Linked DNA regions of Cricetulus griseus. The protein of the gene in region 2 interacts with the protein of the main gene of each other region in a pairwise test. Links are inferred from orthologs where the notes say so. Each region holds a gene or a part of one and is shown on either strand. Other genes may lie near its edges. The genes, in order: Gnai3 and Gpsm3.

The links.
Region 1: the proteins of Gpsm3 (region 2) and Gnai3 interact in binary tests that used the Homo sapiens proteins (3 or more experiments, as listed by UniProt). The two-hybrid records come from large-scale screens. The link is inferred for Cricetulus griseus from reciprocal best matches to the Homo sapiens genes GPSM3 and GNAI3.

Annotation. Positions count from the first base shown.
Region 1 is NW_023276806.1:49,016,410-49,020,222, forward strand, and holds part of Gnai3 (guanine nucleotide-binding protein G(i) subunit alpha), read left to right. Parts: intron 1-1,196; coding exon 1,197-1,354; intron 1,355-3,813. UniProt on the Homo sapiens protein: Heterotrimeric guanine nucleotide-binding proteins (G proteins) function as transducers downstream of G protein-coupled receptors (GPCRs) in numerous signaling cascades.
Region 2 is NW_023276806.1:231,200,731-231,204,902, forward strand, and holds Gpsm3 (G-protein-signaling modulator 3), read left to right. Parts: upstream 1-1,384; 5' UTR 1,385-1,754; coding exon 1,755-1,799; intron 1,800-1,978; coding exon 1,979-2,081; intron 2,082-2,271; coding exon 2,272-2,471; intron 2,472-2,880; coding exon 2,881-3,018; 3' UTR 3,019-3,451; downstream 3,452-4,172. UniProt on the Homo sapiens protein: Interacts with subunit of G(i) alpha proteins and regulates the activation of G(i) alpha proteins.

The DNA.
Region 1 (3,813 bases), about 180 Mb from region 2:
TTTTTGAGGTTGTAAATACTAGATTTATATAGAGAAATCTTTGAGATCTGGGTTCAGTTTTGTTGTTTTGAGACAGGGATTCTTTGTGTAGCCCTGGCTGTCCTATCTCAATCTATAGACATTGAACTTAGAGATCTGCCTGCCTCTGCCTCACTGCATGCTGAGATTAAAGGCGTGTGCCACCACTGCCCTGCTGTGTTCAGTTTAACATTTTCATGAAGGAATGGATAAGATAAATTAAAATCATCAAAATTCTCATATCACCTTAAGACTTAGAAACTAATGCAATTCCTGTCTGAAACTCATGACATTCTGATGGCGTCACTCTGTTGCCATTTCCCCTCCTGCTCCCATCTTTCCCCTGTTGTAGAATGTTAATGGTGTTCCTTTAGGGTATCTAGAGACTAAACATTTTCCCTGAGGGCTTGGTTCCTGTTACTGGGCTTTAAGTGCCTTACATGCTTCATCACCTTCCTGCCTGCTGTCTGCAGTGAAGGGGAAGGAGCAAGCAGTTGATTGATTAAGCAAGCACTTCGCCTTAAACTTGATTAATGTCATATCCCTATGCCATGTTTATACTTCTTATATGTAAATCTTTTCATTTCTGTATAGGGTAGGCAAGTGCGCTGTCACTGAGCTACACCCCCAGCAGTCTAGGTAACATACACGCATGCATGTATGTTTGTGGGCATAGAGTGTGGAGGCTGCAGGTTGACTTCAGGTGTTTTCCTCTACCATTTTCCACCTTACGATTGGAGACAGTGTCTCTCCAAATGTGGAGCATGTTATTTTGGCCAGACTGGTAGGCCAGTGACCTCCAGGGATCCTTCTTTCTCTGCTCCCCCAGCACTGAGATCACAGGCTTATGCTGTGGCATCCAGCTTTTACATGGATCTGAACCCGGGTCCTCATGCTTGCACCACATGGACTTTATCACTGGGCTATGCTCCCGATCCTCATTAAGGGCTTACTTTAACAGAATGGAAAGCTGTTACATATATTTGTCTCTCAGACCAGTAAGTTTCCCCACCCCCCATTCCCTCATTAATCATAAGTCATCAGGATAGAGGAGTTCGAGTCTAATGGAAGAGTGGTCGTATGACATCTGACTCGCAAGTGCATGAGTGTGTGGAGTGAGCCTCATCTAGTCTTACAAGTGGGAACTCATCTGTCCCTCTCTCAACTCTTTTCCTCAGGATGATGCCCGACAGTTATTCGTCTTAGCTGGCAGTGCTGAAGAAGGAGTCATGACTTCAGAACTTGCAGGCGTGATTAAACGGCTCTGGCGAGATGGTGGGGTGCAGGCATGTTTCGGCAGGTCCAGGGAGTATCAGCTCAATGATTCTGCTTCCTAGTAAGTAATTTCTTTTTCCTTTGAAACTAATAGGAAGTGATTTGGTGATCCTAGAGCAAGTTCAGTACGTATCCTTAAGGAAATGTTCAAGTATTAGAAATGTCCAGCTGCCTTACTTTAAGGATAGCTCTGTGGTGCATTTATGGTAAGCAAGTGGAGTGAGACATCTAGCAGAGGTTAGTTCCCTGTGTAAGGACAAGGAGGGGAAAGTTAAAACTGGACATCTCGCCACACCACATCACAAACCACACACCACACCACACACACACACACACACACACACACACACACACACACACACAAACCACACCACACCACACCACACCACACCACACCACACCACACCACACCACACCACACCCTGGTTTGTTATTGTTGTATTTGAGACAGGATCCTCGTGGCTGGCCTTGAACACACAGAGATCGGCCTGCCTCTGCTTACCATGCAAGGATTAAAAGTGTGCAGCACCACATCTGGTGTGACAGCCCTTTTTATACTCTCTCTCTTGGCTGTGCTATGAATTTTTCTGGTAGTAGTCATTACTACTTAATTGTGTGTGGGTGTGGTATGTGACGGTGTACACTAGGGATTGAACCAAAGTCTCATGCGTGTTAAGCACATGCTCTACATCCTCAGCCCTTTTATTAGTTTTTATTTTGAGACACAACCTCACTCATATTGGCATTGAACTCATTCGATAGCGCAGGCAGGCCTGAACTTGGGATCCTTCTGCTTCAGCTTCTAAACAGCTGAGATTACAAGCCTGCACCACAAAACCCAGCACCGTTTACATCTTGTGCCAGACTGTGGTAGTAGACTTCTATAGAATGACGATGTGTCATAGAATGGAGTTGACTCATTTCCTTGTCAAGAAAATTCTCTTGAGTATTAGTTTTGCAGAACTGGTATTTTACTATTATATGTGATCCTGTTTTGTCCCCAACACATTTATTTATTTTTGTTTTGGGGTTTTTTTTTGTTTGTTTGTTTGTTTTGAAGTGGTTTCTCTGTGGCTTTGGAGCCTGTCCTGGAACTCACTCTGTAGATCACACTGGCCTTCAATTCACAGAGATCCACCTGACTCTGCCTCCCGAGTGCTGGGATTAAAGGCGTGCACCACCACTGCCCTGCTACACATTTAGTTTCAAGACATATGTTCATGGTGTATTTTTAAAATGTGCTTTTGGGGGGGGGGCACCTAGTGAGTACTTGTCATCTGTAGCCTTCTCTGAATCAGATAAAGTACTTTTGATTGTTAGGGTATTTTTCTACTAGTGTTATATTTCCCATCCTCATCTTGTCACATAGTGTTATAAGACATTAACGGTATGTATGAAGCTTACGTACTCTTTCAGTGGAAATGATTTAGCAAACAGTAAAAGGATTCTTGTCCACTTTTTAAAAATAAGATTGTTTTTATGTGCACAGTGATAGTGTAGGTAATTCAGTGGTCATCAAAGGTAGATTTTTAATTACCTCTTCTGTCATATATTGGGTAAGCTCTGACTCCCCAATTGCATGTTGTTTATAGAGTTTTCTCCCTCCATAGTTGTTCATCTGAGCTTGATTCTGGTAATTGGTTTGTAGAAGATCTGAATAACATGCTTAAAGTAGTGTCACCTGCTCTTCAGCTTTTTTTGTTGTTTGGAATCAATGAAGATTTAGCTTTTTGTCTCTTTCTCAACTCTCTTCCCATGTTTTGAAAGAGGATCTTGTTACATAGCCCAGGCTGGCCTGAAACTCCTATGAATATATATCTTCCCGATTAATTCCAAACTTGTGGCCACCTTCCTCTTCCCAGTGCTGGGTTTACAGGCGTGTACTAACATGTCCACCTGTGCTCTCACTGGGTCTAGTTCTTCTAATTTTCATAATTCAAATGTCATTTTTTAATGAGCTGTCAAATAGTTATGTATGTGGCTGACATAAATTTAGATATATGAGAGCTTTTGTTTTAATTTTTTTGTGTTTTGTTTTCATAAGGTCTTACTATGTAGCCCAGGCTTTACTGGAACTCTGGGGTTCAGGGTTACAGGTCTGTGCCACCTGTAGGTTTGGTTTTTTTTTGTTTTTGTTTTTGTTTTTTTCTGTATTAAGTACATAACTCATTTTATGTTAGATTTCAGGAAGTTTTCTTTAGCAGGAATAAAATTGCCTTGTTTTTAAAATTTGCCTTCACAGTATATTTAAAACCATTTTTGTTACTATGTATAGATGCTATTAATTTCCCTATGCTAGATTTACTTGCCCCCCCCCCCTTGTAATACTGAAGATTTAATATTTTTCTGCCTCTGAGGTGAATTTGAGGGTCTACTTTTTTTGTGGTTTGTTAGTACTTGGGATTGAATCTTGGGTCTTACACATGCTAGTAGCCAGCTAGTCTCAAGCAGAGAGTTTAGTCTGTTGACTTGTTGTGTTCATGGTTGGCTTTGCCAAGTAAAAACCAATGTATATTTCAT
Region 2 (4,172 bases):
TTTTTTTTTTCCTGGAAAGTAGAGCAGCTACAAGAGGACAAGGTGGACTTTGAGAATCCCTCAACTGGGACCAAGAACTGTGGGCAAACTGGGTGTAAAAATGTTCCCTGTGTATGGTTTCCCAAACCAAGTCTCTGCTGCCCACTGCCCGCGAGTAGCTGGCAAATATTTATTGAGCCCCTACTATGTGCTGGGCCTTGTGTTGACGATGAAGCGTGGCCAGTGGCCCCTCCAGCTGATGACTCCTCGCCCCCCCTCTGCCACTCCTGCCCCCAGGAAAGTGATGCAGGGACGAGGCCTTCCTCTCTAGCTACTGCTATCTCTAGGAACCCCAAACTCATGAACAATAAATAAAGCTGATTTAAAGTGTTACTTTATTTGTCTGAGGAACTCATAGTGTTTGGGAAATCTAGTACCCTAGGTTCATCCATAAAGGCAGGTGGCTTTTAGATACAAATTAAGGGGAAACAATCTGGGGGTCCCAGTTTGGGGGGTGTCATCTGGAAAGCGAGAATCTCTTAACAGTCAAAACAAACATACAAGGTGATAGATGCTGTGCCCCCCATCCTTGGGCATTTAGGAGACCGCTAAGGTCTTGGACACGCATTTCATCCTCATGGCTTTACCCCAACCCTGATAAGCCTGTGACGTAAGGCCCAGGAGCATTCTGGAAGATTACCAGCCACCCTTTATAGAGTATCTGCCAGGTGCCAAGTGCTCACTACAATTAACCCTCCCCAATCCTATGAGGTAAGTGCCACAAGGGCCACTTTACCCGGTCACAAATGGAGGCACAGAGGTTTCATTCACCTAAGATTGCCGGGCTCTCTTCACCCCCTTTCATGCCCCAAGCCACTTGGCTCTAACTTCATAACGTCACACAGCCGGCGGGAAGCCATTTGAAGAGTCCAGATGTCTGTCCTGCTCCTCCTGGGGCTAACCAGAACTGGCCAAAAGCCAAACTAAGTTCTGTCTTCCACTCTCATGACCCCAGGCAAGTCTTCCTGTGGCCTTTGCCTACACTAGCTCAGCTTCCAGGGACATTTTCTCACACTTGGTTCACTCTGGTCCCCTCCTCTGCTTGTAACGCTTGAGGGTAGTGAAAAGCACTCAGCAACCAGTCTCCAACTACTTCCCGTGTGTCGGCCCAGAGTTAGGACAGAAGCATTGGGCCTGACACCAGTGCCTCTCGGTCCGCGCCTTCTGCTTCCCTCTAGAACCCTGCCTTTCCCTGGCCCGGGAAGTCGAAGAGAGACGGTGAGAAGGGCCACTCAGGATCAGTCTTGGGGAGGGAAGAAACCTCGTTTGGGGGAGGGGATCCCAAAGAGTGAAACCACTTCCTGTGTTGTAGCTAGTTCCGGTGTTGACAGAGAGGAGCTGGAGGGGAGGTGGGGATGGAGGGAGCGGTGTGGCAGGGGTAGGGGGTTACTGAGGCTCTGGAGATGAGTAGGCCCGAGTCTGGCCCTGTCAGGAGCCTGCCCCACTCCGAAGCTGGACTTCTTCCCAGTCTCTGTCCTCCCCAGGGGCAAGAGAGGTCAAACAAGCTGTTTGGGTGGGAAAGGAGAATGGAGGAAGTTGACCGAGATGGGCGGGGCTGACCAGGAACCCAGCTTCCTGCTCAGTACCCAGGCATCCAGCCCCCAGCTCACCCCCACCCCTTCCAGCCCCCCGTTCCCCTCAGGAGCCCAGGGTTCCGGTCCTCCTTCCAAATTCCAGCCTCCCCTCCCCCACCAGTGTCTCTCCCCAGCCCAGGGATGGAGGCTGGAAGACCCCAGGAAGAAGAGGATGATGAGCAGCAGGTGAGCCGGGCGCCGGGTGGGAGGCCAGCACAGGGAGCAGGGGCATGTGAGGACACAGGACACTTGGAAAGCTTGGGCACACCAAGGAAGGCAGGGACAGGCACACAGGGGACATGGTCGCCAGCCTAGCCCTCTGCCCACACCGCCATCTGACTGGAATGGACCTGTTTCGGTATCAGGGTCCCCCGCAAGATGATCAGGGCTGGCCCCCTGTGAACTCCACCACTCGGCCTTGGCGATCTGCGCCTCCCTCCCCTCCTCCTGCAGGAACCCGCCACACAGGTACCCCACACCAACCCTGGGAGACCCTGACCCATCACCCAGGCCACCCCAGCGTAGGCCCGCTAACCTCACACCTGCTCACCTGCTGGACCCTAACCACAGTCTACCAGCTCACCTGCCCCCACCTGTCCGTGGCGTCTCCTTTCTGCCATCGCCTCTGGGTCTTAGCCTCCCCCCTCCTCTCCCATAGCCCTGGGGCCCCGGTCGGGCTCCCTGCTCTCCCTGCAGACAGAGCTCCTTCTGGACCTGGTGGCTGAGGCCCAGTCCCGCCGCCTAGAGGAACAGAGGGCCACCTTCCACACCCCCAAGGTCCCCAGGAGCCAAACCCCAACCCCACCCCGGCTTCTTGAGGACCAAGAACAGCTCTACAGCACCATTCTTAGTCACCAGGTAAGGCAAACATACCCCCCCACACTGCCGCTTGCATTGTTTCAGCCCTAACTTAGTCTTTTTATTATTATTATTATTATTATTATTATTATTATTATTATTATTGGGGTTTTTTTTCGAGACAGGGTTTCTCTGTGTAGCTTTGGAGCCTGTCCTGTCTCTCGCTCTGGAGACCAGGCTGGCCTCGAACTCACAGAGATCCTCCTGCCTCTGCCTCCCGAGTGCTGGGATTAAAGGCGTGCGCCACCACCTGAAGTTAGGCTTCAGCCCTAACTTCTTCCTCCCCAAAACATATGTCTCTTGGCCAGCCTCTGCTCCCCTCAACACCTACTGCCCTAGACCAACCCTGGCCCTCTTACCCAAAGCCACCACCGACCACCAAGGCTCTCCTCTCCCTCTGCATGTCTAGTGCCAGCGGATGGAAGCCCAGCGGTCAGAGCCGCCCCTGCCCCCCGGGGGACAGGAGCTCCTGGAGTTGCTGCTGAGAGTTCAGGGTGGAGGGCGAATGGAGGAGCAAAGATCCCGGCCCCCTACACACACCTGCTGAGACCTGAGCTCCCAACCAGCCCCTTCTCTCAGGGACTCAAAGCTGGGCCACCCCCGCAAGCCTTCAACCCTGCGTGGCAGGGGTGCCAGAGACTGAAGACCCATTTTCCCAGGGAACTGGACAGGGGGCAAGTACCCTAACCTTGAAAACGAGCAAGGTAGGGTGGACACGACTCCCCAAGACCGTTCAAGAGTCTCTATCCTGAGCTGTCAAGCTACTCAACGGGGTGTGAGGACTGAGGCCTGCCCCTCCTGCCTAGCAAGAAAAAGGGGAAAGATTAAGACAACCGCCCAGCACTGGCACCCCAAGCCCCAAGGCCGAGGAGCCCAGAGGCCCTGAAGCGAACCTCAGCCCCACCCACACACCCTGCTGCTGCTGCTGCTGAGTCTGCCCGATGTGTTGGTTGTGTGAATAAACTTAATTCCCCTCTGCACTGAAGACTGGTATCTGGGGGTGGGTGGCTGGGTGTGCAAGGTGGGTCGGTGAGGCCTGGGGCAGCCGCTCTCCGCGAGCTGGCCGGAGGCCAAGTCCCCTCCCTGGCTGGTTAATTACTGGCTCATTAAGCAGCGGCTGGAGACCTCCCTAATCATCCCCCCAGCCCCCAGTCTCCCGGTTTTAATTAAGTCGAACAGGGAGGGGAGTCATTAGAACAAGAAATATGAACCGAGCCGTCGGAGAGCATTCCAGCGGCCGGAGTCCGCGCCACCCCGACGGTGGGCTCGGAACCCGGGTGGCCCACGCCGCCCCCGGCCCCGCCCCGCCCCGCCCGGCTCCGCCCCGCCTGGCTCGGCTCGCACGCTCGCACGCTCGCGCCGCCGCCCGCCCCGGGGCCAGCCTGGCCTCTCCCGCCCGGGCCGCCCGGCCGCTCCCCGCCTCCACCCGCCGCCGCCGCCGCCGCCGCCGGCCGCCCGCCGCCCGGCCTGCGTGTCCCCGCCCCCGGCTCCTCCCCGTTCCTCCCCTCCTCCCCTCCTCTTCCTCCCGCTCCCCTCCCCCAGCCGCCTCCCTCGCTCCCCCTGCTCCCTCCTCCCTCCTCTCGCACACACACCCCCGCTTGGGCCTCCTCTCTCTCTCTCTCTCCGGCTCCATTTTCTCCGCCGCCGGGGGCCGGGGTCTCCTGTGGGGGTGCCCAGGCGGCACCCCAGGCCTCCCCTCCA